Linked DNA regions of Sus scrofa. The protein of the gene in region 2 interacts with the protein of the main gene of each other region in a biochemical or structural test. Links are inferred from orthologs where the notes say so. Each region holds a gene or a part of one and is shown on either strand. Other genes may lie near its edges.

What was found.
Region 1: the proteins of NID1 (region 2) and FBLN1 form a complex in vitro, tested with the Homo sapiens proteins (3 studies listed by BioGRID). The link is inferred for Sus scrofa from reciprocal best matches to the Homo sapiens genes NID1 and FBLN1.

Annotation. Positions count from the first base shown.
Region 1 is NC_010447.5:3,880,798-3,888,423, forward strand, and holds part of FBLN1 (fibulin-1), read right to left. Parts: intron 6,950-7,626; coding exon 6,821-6,949; intron 6,091-6,820; coding exon 5,965-6,090; intron 3,581-5,964; coding exon 3,461-3,580; intron 2,158-3,460; coding exon 2,026-2,157; intron 390-2,025; coding exon 266-389; intron 1-265. UniProt on the Homo sapiens protein: Incorporated into fibronectin-containing matrix fibers. May play a role in cell adhesion and migration along protein fibers within the extracellular matrix (ECM).
Region 2 is NC_010456.5:55,337,522-55,345,147, reverse strand, and holds part of NID1 (nidogen-1), read right to left. Parts: intron 5,301-7,626; coding exon 5,129-5,300; intron 3,574-5,128; coding exon 3,416-3,573; intron 2,249-3,415; coding exon 2,125-2,248; intron 1,518-2,124; coding exon 1,405-1,517; intron 159-1,404; coding exon 37-158; 3' UTR 1-36. UniProt on the Homo sapiens protein: Sulfated glycoprotein widely distributed in basement membranes and tightly associated with laminin. Also binds to collagen IV and perlecan. It probably has a role in cell-extracellular matrix interactions.

The sequences.
Region 1 (7,626 bases), on a different chromosome or scaffold from region 2:
AGAGCACGCGCTGACACCTGCGGCTCACAGATGCGGAAACTGAGGCCCAGACCCTGGCCCGAGGTTTCCCCCGGCAGAGCGAGAGGTCACGACCTTGGCTTCCTGGGACCCGTCTCACTGGCAGGTGGGGGCCTGAGAACCAGGGCTCCTGGAGTTTCCCAGGAGCCACGTGGGAGGGCACAGCTCATTAACTCCTGGCCCGGGCGGGGAGCCGGGCCCCGGCAAGGCCGACCCAGACAGACGATCGCGGGGCCCAGGGACTTACGTGTCTGCGGAGCGGCGGTAGTTCTCAGGACACTCGAAGGCCAGGCAGCGGAAGCTGCCCTGGATGTTGAAGCAGGTCTCGTTGATGGAGCAGTTGTGGATGCCGGTCACACACTCGTCGATGTCTGCGGGAGACCCCGAAGCAGCACCGTGAAGGCCAAGGCCCCCCCGGCCACCCCTGTCCACGGCTGGGGGTGCCCGGACCTCCCGCCAACCAGGGTCGGGGGAGGTCAGCCCATCCTTGCCGTCTGCTGGCTGCTCTTTCATTTATAAGTGACTTAGATTTAAATCTAAATGGCTGTTAGTCACAGTTCCCGGGGCGAGCGTGATGACGGTGACATCAAACGCTCTCTGATGGCCCTGGTTTTGCAGGAATAACGCACTTGATTCTCACAACAAGTCGATGAGGCAAGGGCTGTGCTTATCCTCGTTTTAGGGACGAGCACACAGAGGTTAAGCGACTGGCCCAAGGTCACATATTTTGTAAGTGGCAGAGGTGAACTCGGAACCCAGGCAGCCAGCGCCTCTCTGAGGCTCAGAGGTGCCCTTGTAACGTCCCGGGAGGAACGAGCAGAAGCTACCAGCCCCGCTTTACAGACGAAGAGACTGAGATTTAACGGGTCCTATGTCACACCCAGTGTCCAGGGCTGGTCACTATCTGGGCCTGGGGGACTGTCACAAGGTGACCTTGGCCATGGGGAGCCGTCCCCCTTCCCACAACTGTCCAGAGCAGCCAAAGGGTGGGTTCAGGGGATGTCACCGCGCCAGAGGCATCTGTTAAGAGATGCCAAATCCTGATTGTCGGTGGCAAAAACAGCCCTGCCCAACCTCAAAGGCTGAGGCTCAGGAATGTGTTTTTGCCGCGTCTGGCAGGACCCCAGGCTGCGGTGAGGGCGCCTGGCCAGGATCAGGAAGTCAGCTGCTCTTTCAGAAACGCGAAAACAAAGCAACTTCCACCCAGAGTCCTGGACGGGCTGAGCAGGTCCCTCCCAGGAAGGCCCGCAGCTCCCTCCCCGCCTTTGATCGAAGTCCTCAAACCTTCTGACCAGGAATGACACCTGCAGAGCCCGGGGCCCCCAGCCGCAGAGGGGGTCATCAGGAAGCGGCTGGACAGACCTGACCTCTGATTCAGCCTCTGTGGCCGCTCCCGGCAGGGAGGCCCGCGTGTCCATGCCAGGGCTGCTCATTCACAAACATGTACTCAGCAGCCCCTCCGGAACCAAGTGGACCACCTCAGGTGCGGGGTGTCCTCAGAAACGGGAGCCGAGTACCAGCCGGATGCCACTTGCCCGCTTTTGGCAATGCTGGAGGCGACTCTCAAGCCCCAGCCAGACCCTACAGCCATTAGGTCCCTAAATACAGAGACCTCAGGCTTGTCACACATCCTGACTGGCCCATCCCCTTGCCAAGTGCGGACCAAGACCTTGAGACAGAGGCCCGTACCATCTGCTCACTGCTTTGCCCTTAATACCTGGCCCAAAGCAAGGGTTTGTTGAATGACTGAAGGAGAGCCTAAAGGGCAGTGCTAGGCTGTGGGTCTTCCTGGCATTGACGGCCCGTTTCCTTCACAGTGGCATCTTCCAAAAGGCTGCCAGCCCCCCTTTGGGCCCCCCTGGGGCTTCCCAGGTTGGGGCAGGAGGGCTCAGCCCTCCCGGAGGACAAGTGTGCCCGGGGGCAGGAGATCAGGACACAGCCAGGCTCCCTACCCGAATGCAGAGCCCCAGGACGGCCTGAGAGAGACCAGGGGCTCCACGTGCTCACCTTGGCAGTTGCGGCCGTTGGGGGCCAGCCTGTACCCGGTCGAGGGGCAGCTGCACTGGAAGCTTCCCGGGATGTTGATGCAGCGGTAGGAGCAGATGTGGCCCCCGGTGGGCAGGGCGCACTCGTCGATGTCTGTGACAGCAAAGCCCACCCTTAGTGTCCGTGTGGACCCTGGCCGGGCTCCACCCCCGTGGGCTGACTGAGCTGCGGCCTGGGGGGCAGCTGCCCAGGCCAAGCTGGACCCAGGGGGCCTTGAAGCGCTGGGGCTGGGGCGGCCTCAGAGGCCATCACGTGAGAAGGGAAAACTGAGACCCAGAGAGGGGATGCACCTAGCCTGGAGCCACACAGCAAGTTCATGGCGTGAAGCGTGTTTGTGGGGGAGGAGCCAAGGCTTCAGGGTGACTACATGGGGAAATGTTTTGCCAGCCAAGCCCTAGTGCCACTTGTTAAATGTGTCATTAACACACGCACCTTATGCAGACGTAGGAATCATCTTAACAACAGTTGCCTAGGAGTTCCCGTAGTGGCTCAGTGGTTAATAGATCGGACTAGGAACCATGAGGATGCGGGTTCAATCCCTGGCCTCGCTCAGTAGGTTAAGACTCCCGTGTTGCCGTGAGCTGTGGTGTAGGCTGGGAGCTGTAGCTCCAATTCGATCCCTAGCCTGGAAACCTCCATATGCCACAGGTGCAGCCCTAAAAAGACAAAAAAAAAATAAAAAACAAAAAAAAAGTTCCCCTTCAGGCACCCTAGGAAGCGCTCTTAAGCCATGATTTGGTTTCCTCCTCCAAGAAGCTGCAACTGTGGGCTTAACCCGCATGTCATAGCAGAGACGGCCCAGGCCCAGAGAGGGGCTTTTAAAAGGCCCAAGGCAAGGAGTTCCAGCTGCAGCTCAGTGAGTTAAGAACCTGACTAGTATCCATGAGGATGCAGGTTCAATCCCTGGCCTCGTTCAGTAGTTAAGGATCCAGCACTGCTGCAAGCTTCGGTGTAGGTGGCCCATGCAGCTTGGATCTGGTGTGGCTGTGGCTGTGGTGTAGACCAGCAGGCTGCAGCTCCGATTCAACCTCTAGCCTGGGAACTTCCATATGCTGCAGGTGCGGCCCAAAAAAGGAAAACGGGCCCAAGGCAGAGCTGGGAATCAGCAACGTGGGTGGGCCCTGAGGCCCCTCCTCACTCCGGCATCACCTGCCCGCGCCAAGCCCCACTCAAGGTCTCCCCACACACGGCAAACACCGCCGGGACGTTTTATTTCACTACAGAAAAATCCAAGGAGAGGGTTTGCTCCTTTGCAAGCCTTACTCCATGATGGGTAGAGGGCATCCTACGAAATCTCGGGGGAGTAAAACCAAACCACCCGCCAGGCAGAAGGGGGGGGCGGGGACAGGGACAGAGGCGGAGGTGCTCCGGCCTCCGCCCAGCCGGAAGCCCTCACCTTCGCACGTGGTCCCGTCCACGTCGCTGAGCTGGTAGCCTCGCCGGCAGTAACACTGGTAGGAGCCGTAGACATTGGCGCACTCCTGGCTGCAGGGGCTGCTGTGACACTCATTCACGTCTGAAAGAGAGAAGGTTCCCCGCTCGGAGCTGCGTCACCCATCCCTGGCCGGCCTGTGACCTCCCTCGCGTTAACACATAGGCAGAGGCAAAGCCTTCCAAGTTCAGGGATCAGACATCTGCCCAGGGTCACCGCAAGAGAGACAGACCCCAAGGGAGAGAGACCTCACGGCTGGGGGATTGGGCATCTCCCCACCCCCACCTGCTTCAAGCCACACGGTCTCTGGGCTCTGGCTCCTCTGGGATCTGGCTCCTCTGCTCACTCAGCAGGGATTGGCCAACTTCCGGCCCCCCACTTGAGTTTGCAAATAAAGTTTTATTGGCACCCGGCCACGGCCATTCGTTCACCAGGGTCTGTGGTGGCTTGGGCCTCACAACAGCACGGTGGAGCTGTCGCAACCCAGAGGTGGCCAGCAAAGCCTGAAAGATGTCCTGTGTGGCTTTCAGGAAAAAAGCCTGTCCATCTCTGGCCCAGGAGTGTCTTCTCACATCTGTTTTCTCCTAATTCTGAGCAGCCAAGACTCTCCACTAGCCTCGCACCCCCTGTCTCAGCCCTGAGTCCCCCCACACACTTGGCTGCCACCTGATCCCCTATTCACATGCTCACCTCCGCCCCATGTGGCTTCTCACATCCCAGAGACACTCCCTGAAGGCAGGAACCTGGGCAGGAGGCAGTGGAATAATCTGGCAAGGCTGGCCAGGCCCTGGTTTTATGTCCACAGTATGAACTAGACAATATCTGTGTTAATCAGTGGTTTAGGGGCAACCAGGGACAGCACAGGTCACCAATATAATAACAATAATGCCAGCAGCCTCCGTACGGGAGCACTCTGACTCGTCCTGGGCACTGTGACAGACAATACGTCACAGGCGTCCCCTGGGTTCATACTCACGACCCCCACGGGGTGGGCCCTACGATCCCCATTTCACAGATGAGGACACTGAGGCCCAGAGACACTAAGCTACTTCTTCAAGGCCCTAAGAATGACAGAGGTGGGATTTGAAGCCAGGCCCAAGGGACCCCCAGGCCTGAATCTTGTTTCCTGCCCTTCCACGCATGTTGGGTCTGGTTCCTGGGGACAAATCCCAGCATCTCTGGGGAAGCCTAGCGCCCAGGAGTCCCTCGCACTGTCCATCCTCCAGGCCGAGAGCTACAGTCTGGGGGGCATCCGGGCACATCCGATTTTTGTGCTCATCCCTCTTAATGCAGGATTTTAAGAGCTGCTGTGTCTTGAGTCTGGCTCACAGGTCACCCCCGGGGCACTGCACTGCCAAGAAGGGGGCTTGATGGGCCACGTGAGGAGTTGCCAAGGGTGGTCCAAAGCGCTCCGTTTCTACTGACCTCATCACCTACTGCCCGCAGAAGATGTGACGTCTGCTGAGCACCCACCATGTGCCAGGCCCTGCGCGGTTCACCTATCTCAGTCCATCACCACAGGGGGCAGTGTTATCTGAGAACCCCAAGACTCTCGGCACCAATAATTCGGTCCAACCCACCCCCCAACACAGAGACCCAACCAAACTTCAGCATCACCCAAGACCATGACCCTGCCTGGGGAAGCTCAACGCTGCCAGAGAAGTTACTGAGGGTTCCGGCCCGCATCAGACTACAGGCCCTGACTCCCTTTTTTCTCAGAAGCATGTACTTTAGCAAACCTGCGAGTACATATCCTTTCTCTGTCCCTTCGAGGTGTATCGTTAGCAACCCCGGAGCATCTTTCTAAGGACCTGGGAACCCAGCCTTTGAAATGCGATCATCAAGAAGGGGAGGCCCCACCCCCAGACGCGGCAGGAGGGTCGGAGCCAGTGAGCAGACGGCTGGCCTGACTGCACCAAACACTCCCCTAACAGCCTTCAGCACTGATCCTTAACGCACTCGGGCAGGTGACAAGCCTGCGCTTTTTGTTTCGGTGGAGCTGAGGTCTTTCTCCTCTGCTGTAGTAGTCTAAAGCCAATCCGTCTTACCACTTTAAACAAGTGTACCGCTTTTGTTTCTCTTTGTCACAACCACCCATGTGCCCTGTGAGGATGCTGAGGCAGGTGAGGGCAGCCAGGCCCCAAGGGCATGTCGGTGGCGGGTTGGATGCCCCCAAGCCCCAGCCTCCCCGCCACATCCACGCAGCTTCTGCAGCCAAGTCGCCCACCCCCATGTGTGCAGCAGATGTTATCAGCTGGGCCAAGGCCCAGGGAAAATCGAGGTGAGCTGTCGTCTCTGACAGGTACATTTTTAGAGGCATTTTCTCTGCTAACACGTCCTTTCATATGTGCTGGGGCACAGGTGTGACGCAGTCCCAAACGGGTCTGCAGACGGGCAGAGTGGTGAGTTTCCCCAGGAGGCTGCAGCTTGGGGAAGGATGAGGTCTCGGGGCACCCCCTGTCCCCCACCTTCACAGGAGCGGCCGTCAGAGGAGAGCCGGAAGCCTATGGTGCAGCTGCAGTAGTAAGAGCCCGGTGTGTTCTCGCACTTGTGGCCACACAGGCGCCCCGGGTAGCGCCGGCACTCGTTGATGTCTGAAAAGAGCAGGCAGGCGGCTTGGGCAGCGTCCTCCCTGGGCAGCCCTCAACCCTTGTCCCCCACTTCCCCCGGTCTCCTCCCAGAGAAAGGCACTGTGACTTGTCCCAAACACAGGACGAGTCGGCAGGGGAGCCGGGACCACACCCGGCCTGTTTGCCCACTGGGCAAGCCTCGTGCCCCCTCCACGATGGCATGTCTGGGCACATGCCCACCTGCCAGTCCTTCACCCCAGAGCCCAAAGGAGGAATCTGACAAAGGTGCCATGGGGGTGGGCGGGGCAAGTGCCAGCCTCCCCTGAGCACCCCGGTTTGGGGATAGGATTTGTTCTGGCCACTGTGCCATCCTGGGTTCTCTCTGCCCTGGGTGAGCTCCGGGCCGTGCAGGTCAGCAGTGGATCTCTGGGGAATCATCAAGCCTCTGGAGCTTTTATAGAGTGGACTGTAGTCGCATAAAACCCAGGAGGTCCTGGGCCAAGCAGAGCACCTGTTCTCTAGATGGGGAACCTGGTTCACGCCCGGGGGTGGGGGTGGGGGTGGGGGCTCCCGAAGAGCCTCAGGACTGGCCAGCTAGAATAAGGGGGAGTCTCCCGACTGGGGTCTTTTCTCTGGGACTGTCTGCCCTTGGCATTTGCAGAGGTGAGGAGCAGGCCTCGGTCACTGCAAAGGACCCCAGGCAGGTCTCTCCGGGGCATCACCCGGCCGGCCCCCTGAGCAGATGGCCACGTACCCACACACGTCCTGCTGATGCCGTCGAAGTAGTAGCCGGCCTTGCACTCACAGCGGAAACTTCCAAGAGAGTTCACACACATGTGCCCCGGCCCACAGGGCTCAGCGGGAGGTGAGCACTCGTCCACATCTTGCAAAAGAGAAAGAGCCAGTGAAAAACCTCGTGTGCGTGTGCGTGTGTGTGCGTGTGTGTGTGCGTGTGTGCTGGGGGGGGCTATGGGGGGAGGGCCTGCCCTGAGATGATCAGAAAGAGGGGCACGGAAGGAGCCCACAAAGCAGCACCCGTTGATTCTTCAACACAACGTCACAGAACACCTGCAACGTGCCAGCCCCAGGCCAGAGAGACAGCTGCCTCTACTTTGGGGGGCCCCTGCCCTGGGGGGCAGGCAGGGACCCTGGTGGAGGCTATGAAAGTGCTCAGGGGGCTATAGGGAGGGGACCGTCCAGCCAGGATCTGGGCAGGCTGGGTGCACAGGAATGCACAGCAGCTGAGGAGAAGGCCGCACGTGAGAGCAAAAACCACACGGAGAGAGAAGGGCAGGGCTGGGCGAAGACTGACTTGTAAGCAGGGCCACCTGCCCTCTGCCTGTCACCCCTGGGGAGCCATCACCAGGGCTGTGAGCAGGGAGGGCAAGAGAGCCTGTAGCTCAGGATCCACTGGACAGAACGAAGGGGCAAAGCCGCTGGCCGGGGCTGGGCTGGCATTCTACTGCACCAGTCCAGGCACTAGCCAGGAAGGACCAGCCACGACGGGAGGGATGGACAGGGGTCAACAGCTCCCTTTGGGGAACTGCCCTCTCCTTCCAG
Region 2 (7,626 bases):
CCTTTCAAGTAGGGTGTTGCTGTGAAATACTTGTCTTCATTTCTGCTCGATACAGTCAACGCCCAGGGTGTTGTCAGGGCAACGGCAGGTCCTGCTTCCTGGGGTGGCCAAGCAGAGGTGGGTGCAGCCACCATTGTTCACTGAGCAGTAGTTGTGACCTGGAAAAGGCAGAAGTGAGCTCGACAGCTCAATCAGCTAAGAGAGTGGCCCCCAGGGAACGGGAGGGCATACTGGGCACCCAGCTCAGCTTATCTACTGGCTGCTTCCTCATCATTAGAGTTTGTCGGATGCGCAAAAACCTGGATCCCTGATTCCTGACCTGGGGGCTATGCTGATGTACCATCAAAGCTCCAAAAGGTTTTTCCAGCTCTGCTGAGAACATGGAACTGGAGTTTTAAGGCACCAAGTACTCTCTCTAGCTTGGCCACTTGCCTGGGGGACCAGAGAGAAGAAAAGAAGGTTGGAAAGAGAGCTTGGGAGATAGCAGAGCATTGACTCTGGAGCCAGGCTGCCTCATTCACCCCAGTTCTCCTACCGTGACCTGGGCAGGTGGCTTCCATTTCCTTATTTATAAAGAGGGCACAATAATAGTGCCTAGCAGTGAATACAGAGCACTTAGTACACTCAGTGACTTGATGTACTTGATGTACCCAGCTCACAGCAAGCATCACACCTGTGCCTGCAGTTATTATTGTTACAAATTACTGTTGTTGCTGCCAGGCTAAATGGATGGACTTGTAAAGCAGCAGAGATCCTAACCCTGTTTCTCCTTGGAGCCTATTCTGAGACCCAACCCAAGAGTCAATACTTTTCTCAGCCTTGACCGTTATTCACCTTTTTCCCTAATGTTTTCTATTGATTCATCTACTAAATAATGAAAACTTTTTTTTTTTTTGGTCATGCCCACAGCATGTGGAAGTTCCCAGGCCAGGGATTGAACCCACACCACAGCAGCAACACCACGGGGTCCTTTACCTGCTGTGCCACCGGGGTGCTCCATGAAGACTTTTTTCTTTCTTTTTTGTCTTTTTGTCTTTTTTAGGGCCACACCCATGGCATATGGAGGTTCCCAGGCTAGGGGTGCAATTGGAGCTGTAGCCGCCAGACTACATCAGAGCCACAGCAATGCAGGATCCAAGCCGCGTCTGCGACCTATACCATAGCTCATGGCAATGCTCAATCCTTAACCCACTGAGAGAGACCAGGGATTGAACCTGTGTCCTCAGAGATGCCGGTCGGGTTCATTAACCGCTGAGCCAGGACGGGAACTCCGCCATGACTACTCTTGATGGAAGAGACTGCGTCTCACTCACCATGGGATCAGGGCTTCCAGAAGCCACACAAGTCCCAGCACACCCCTGGTCCCTCACCAGCCAGTGCACAGGTGTGTTACAGGTAAGTTACCTTCAGGACACTGAGACAGGGCAGTCGTGATGCCATACAGCCGGGCCTGCTTGTGGGGGTGGAAGGTATCCGTCTCTTTGGAAACAGCAAGATCTATGGCAACCACGGAATTCCTACAGGGCACCAAAGGAGAGAAGGTCAAAACACATCTAATGGTGTGAACTTTTCTCTCCAGGGCAGCCTCTTTTGGAGTTGGGGGGATAAACTGGAGGCCGTAAGTAGAGACACTGGCCTCGCTCCTGGCCCTCCCTCCCTCTTCCTGGGACGAGGCAAGCCTGGCTTCTTATACAGAGGCCCATGGCTCTAAATTCCAGCTTTCTATACAGATGTGCCTGCCACAGCTGCTTGCTTGGTTTCACCCCAACTTCCTGTAGGAAGAGCTGTCCTTAAGGGGCTCTAGGAATTTTGCAATTTTAGAATTATAACTAAGAAGGGGCATGGAGCCCCCTGGCTAAGGGGGGTTCTCGGGGAAGAACAGGCACACTGAGGAGGTCCAGGTTTGCAGGCTTGATGCTGCCCGTCTAAGAGCGTCCAGATGATACATGGTACCAGGGGCCCTGCTGGCCCCCTCCTCGCCCTTCTCTCTGACCCCCAGAGGGCAGGGCAGAGGCATCTCTGGAGGCAGGAATTCAAGTCAAAGGGCCCCTTGGGGAAGAACTTGGCCTCCAGGGAGGGCGACAGGGCAGGGCCCCGGCCCCCACGCCGCAGCAGCTGACATACATCTTCCAGTCGGTGTAATACAGATTCTTCCCATAGCTGGTGACAGCGAAAGGGTACTGGAGGCCTTCGAGAACCTTGCGTCTGCTGGGCTGACCCGGCTTCAGGCACTCGGCCCGACTGGTGCCTGTGTGGGGCGAAAACAAGCCGTCCATTGTTCCGACAAGAAATGGCCTCTTTGTGTCAAACAACCAGAGTAACGAGGGCAAGGGTGAGAGGGCCTTACAAGCTCAGATCCTCCCGAACACAGGACCTGCCCTTCTGAACTGGAGAGCTGGCAGTTCGTCCTTCGTGGGTCCTCTCACTGGTTGACCCCACCCTCACCCGGCACCCACACCTGGTTCTGATGGGGAGATGGAGCCGGAGCAGAGGAACTGCACCCGTTGTACCCGTGCCCCGGGCAGCTGGCGTCTTGGTAGGAAAAGATGCCATCTTCCAGCTTCTGCTCCAGCCTCTCCTCCCTGGAGCCTCTTCAGATGTCCCCTCCCTGCATCCCCAGTCCTTGAAACTGCTAAACTGCCCCACTGGTTGGCAGCTGTGCCTGCGCCATGACCAACAGAAGGCTCGGGGTTTTATCCAACTGGGCATGCTTTCCCTGCTGCATCCCCCAGGGCACCTGATGGTGCCTGGAACAAAGCAGAGACCTAGCAGAGACTTGGTGTGTGACGGATGTTCCTCCCCAGCCCATGTCCCTCACCTGAGCGACACCCCAAGTCGGCCCAGGCAGGGGTGCACTACTTTCTCTTCCTTGGCCCCAAGTCCTGCCTAAGCTGCTGGGGACGAACAGGGGTGGAGGTCCAAGAACGTAAGTGGTGAACTGCTGAATAGGTACCAGGATAAAGACAGGCACTGGGCTGGGGGAGGGGCCAATATTTTCTTAAAGGGCCAGATAGTAACTATTTTAGGTTTTGTGGGCCAAGAGGCAAAATTGAGGACACTATACAAGCATTTCTATAACCTTTTAAAATGCCACATTTAAAAATGTAAAAGCCCTTTATAGTTCCTGGGGTTGTAACAAAACAGGTGGCAGGTTGGATTGAGCCCATGGGCCAGCAAACTGGAAGATTGAGAGCTTTCCCTGGACTGCATCAAGCCTAGAGAAACAATTGATTTCAGAGCACAGATATGCAGCTATTTTTGTGCAGAGGGAAAAAAAAAAAACAGTTATCTTATACTCTCCTTCCCATAAGAGATATTCTTGATGGTACAGGGGGTGACAACAGTTGTTTGGTAAAAAAGAAACTGTAGTGACACAGTTTCAAGCCCAGGAGCCAGGCCCCGGGCTTTCCATCACCTGCGTCAACCCAGCAGAGCTGTGAGGAGTAGGCATCAAAGGTCAGCCCGTTGGGCAAGCCCAGGTCATCCTGCACAAGGACCCTCCGGTTTGTGCCATCCATGTAGGAAGTTTCAATTTTGGGGCTGTCTCTGTTCCAATCTGTCCAATAAAGGTTCCTGGAGGAGAAAAAGGAGGAGAAAGAGGAAGAGAAACCGTGAAGATGCATGAGAAAAAGTTCACTTACCGAACACTTAGGAAGAACCTACAATGAAGACATCAGCAGACACTGAAACACAGAATGGGAGTTCCCACTGCGGCACAATGGAATCAGCAGCATCTCTGCAGCAGCATCTCTGCAGCACCGGGACACAAGTTTGATCCCTGGCCCGGCACAGTGGGCTAAAGGATCCTGTGTTGCTGCAGGTGGGCTCAGATTTGATCCTTGGCTGGGGAACTCCAATATGCCATGGGGCAGCCCAAAAAGAAAAAATAAAAGAAACACTGAATGTCTACAAAGGATCTGGAGGGGCCGAGACACAGTTTGCTTTGTAAAGACACATGGATTTGGTTCTTCTTCACTTGAAAGCTTTCACTTTCCTTAAACAAAAGTGACATATGATATCTCAATAAAGCTGTTAAAAAAAAACAAACAGGGAATTCTTTTGTGGCACAGCAGGTCAAGGATCCAGCATTGTCACTGCGGTGACTTGGGTCACTGCTGTGGCACAGGTTTGATCTCTGGCCTCGGGCCTTCCACATACCATAGGCACAGTCAAAAAAATAAAAAGAAAAGAAAAAAACAGAGCCCCATAACTGACCTAAACACACAGGAATTCCCACATGCTGGCACCACACAGGAAGGCACAGTTGACCCAGCGGAGGAAGCACAGAAGCAGTGCTGCAGAGGTGGTGGTCAAGGCACCTGCTAGGAGGGAGATGGCCCAGTGGCCACAGAACAAAGGATGTGCTTTCAACGGGAAGGAATCGAAGCCCTGGGTCTGCATAAGCTGTGGAGCGTGCAGTAAGGGAAAGGGGGAGAAAATGCTGACGTGCTGACAAAGCCCCAGGAAGAGCCTCCAAGGCGTTCCTGCTGAGTTTGCCCTCAGGAAGAAGCCCCAGGGCTATTTTTATGCCACCTGTTTACCCTTCTGGGGCTGACCCAACCCAGGTGGTGATCCACACTCAACCTCAATGGAAAGATCCGATTGCTGGACTGTCAACTTGCAAAGTCTCTTGGTAAAAGATTTGAAAGTAGGAGTTCCCATTGTGGCTCAGGAGTTAAGGAACCTGATTAGTATCCATGAGGTCGTGGGTTCGATCCCTGGCCTCACTCAGTGGGTTAAGGATCTGGCATGGCTGTGAGTCGTGTAGGTCGCAGATGCGGCTCAGACCCTGCGTTGCTGTGGCTGTGGTGTGGGCCAGCAGCTATAGCTCTGATTCGACCCCCAGGCCTGGGAACCTCCATATGCTGCAGGTGTCGCCCTAAAAAGACCAAAAAAAAAAAAAAAGATTTGAAAGTGGAACCCATGAAGCAAGTCCATGACCACAGGGGATAGCCACGGGTGTTCTGGTGTTTCACCATGGATGTCTGCACACCGCCAGCTAGGCTCCTTCATCCTAAACTCACTCGTTTCAGGGGAGCAGTGCTGCAGTTACAGCTAACATGGGTGACTATCCCAAAGGGCAGAAGATGCAGATAGAAGAGACGCACACACTGACTGACACAGTTACCCTCGCACGGAATCCGTTACGATGCCTCTGGGATTCACCAAATCAGTATCAAACAGCACCCGGCGCTGGGTGCCATCCAGCTTGGCAACTTCTATTCGATCCAGGTGAGAATCCGTCCAGAAGATGTTGCGGCCAAGATGGTCAAGAGCAATACCTTCTGGGCTTCCAAGATCTAGAAGCAAATGTGGAACACCACTGATATTATTTTATTTTTTTTAGCAAGTAAGATTAGGTTTTTCTGATTACTCAGTGCTAGTTCACCTGGCATCCAATCCTTGCACTTTGAGATGTGGGAGTGTTGTTTCTAAGTAACACCCAGTGACACATTTTAAAATGCCACCTGTTGACACCATCAAACTCCTAGAAGAAAACATAGGCAAAACACTCTCTGACATCAACATCATGAATATTTTCTCAGGTCAGTCTCCAAAGCAATAGAAATAGAGCAAAAATAAACCATGGACCTCATCAAACTGAAAAGCTTTTGCACAGCAAAGGAAACCAAAAAGAAACAAGAAGACAACTTACAGAATGGGAGAAAATAGTTTCAAATGATGCAACTGACAAGGGCTTAATCTCTAGAATATACAAGCAACTTATACAACTCAACAGCAAAAAAGCCAATCAATCAATGGAAAAATGGGCAAAAGACCTGAATAGACATTTCTCCAAGGAAGATATACAGATGGCCAACAAACACATGAAAAAATGCTCAACATCGCTGATTATAAGAGAATGCAAATCAAAACTACCATGAGATACCACCTCACACCAGTCAGAATGGCCATCATTAATAAATCCACAAATAACAAGTGCTGGAGGGGCTGTGGAGAAAAGGGAACCCTCCTACACTGCTGGTGGGAATGTCAACTGGTACAGCCACTATGGAGAACAGTTTGGAGATACCTTAGAAATCTATACATAGAACTTCCATATGACCCCGCAATCCCACTCTTGGGCATCTATCCGGACAAAGCTCTACTTAAAGAGACACATGCACCCGCATGTTCATTGCAGCACTATTCACAATAGCCAGGACATGGAAACAATCCAAATGTCCATCGACAGATGATTGGATTCGGAAGATGTGGTATATATACACAATGGAATACTACTCAGCCATAAAAAAGGATGACATCATGCCATTTGCAGCAACATGGATGGAACTAGAGAATCTCATACTGAGTGAAATGAGCCAGAAAGACAAAGACAAATGCCATATGATATCACTTATAACTGGAATCTAATATCCAGCACAAATGAACATCTCCTCAGAAAAGAAAATCATGGACTTGGAGAAGAGACTTGTGGTTGCCTGATGGGAGGGGGAGGGAGTGGGAGGGATCGGGAGCTTGGGCTTATCAGACACAACCTAGAATAGATTTATAAGGAGATCCTGCTGAATAGCATTGAGAACTATGTCTAGATACTCATGTTGCAACAGAAGAAAGGTGGGGAAAAAACTGTAACTGCAATGTATACATCTAAGGATGACCTGACCCCTTGCTGTACAGTGGGAAAATAATAAAAAAAAAAAAAAAAAAGAATTGACGAATAAAGTGACTTATTTATTTAAAAAAAAATAATAATAATAATAAAATGCCACCTGTTCACTTGATGGACATCCACCCTGTGTGCCACCTTGGAAACCAGGCCCATAAGGATGCTGAGGCTGTGGCCTCACCTTCAAAGAGCCCACAGTCAATCGCAACTCAGATTGAGTTCTGGGTTCCATGCGAACATGGAGCAGGCACACTGAACTCAGCCTGGGGAGACTCCGGAAGGATTCCTGTGAGAGGTCACACCTCCTAAAGCTGGCTCCCGAAGGAACACCAGGGCTTTGTCAGGCAAGATCCTGGACAAGAGTTTTCCAGGTAACTGGAAGTTTTCCAGGTAAAAGGAAGAATGGATATGGCTTGAAGCAAACCATATCTAATTTTGTATGGCTGGAGACCATGAGGGTGGAGCGTGGCCAGAGATAAAGTTAGGATGCTGTGCTAATGAGCTTAGAGACACAAAAGGGAGGCACAGGAAGAGCTGAAGGTGGGGATGGGACAAACAGATTTACCGTGTTCATCATTGGGGGAAAGGTCATTTTAGAGAAATAATGCATGCAAGAAATCGTACCTGTTATTTCTTTTATAAAGTATTAGGAGTACAAAGAAGAGGCGTCAGTGATTGCAAATAACACCCCAGAAGTCTTGGCTTTAAGTGATTTTTCAAGCCAGGGGTTGCACCGGTCTAAGCTGACTGCAACATGAACCTTCCAATGCCCGCCTGACCTAATCGCAAGTTCAACACTGCAATGGTTTCCTGACTATAAATCCAACCAAATTAAAAGTTCAAACTCCATCAGGGTTTTATTGGTGTCACCCGGGATTCCTTCCCCTCCACTGACGATGAAGTTGAAGGTCATCTAGCAGGGCTGGAACTGACATCAGGAAGGGGAAGAGCCGAGGATGGAGCGACCCTGCCCCGGGGGTCTGGGGAACATGGAA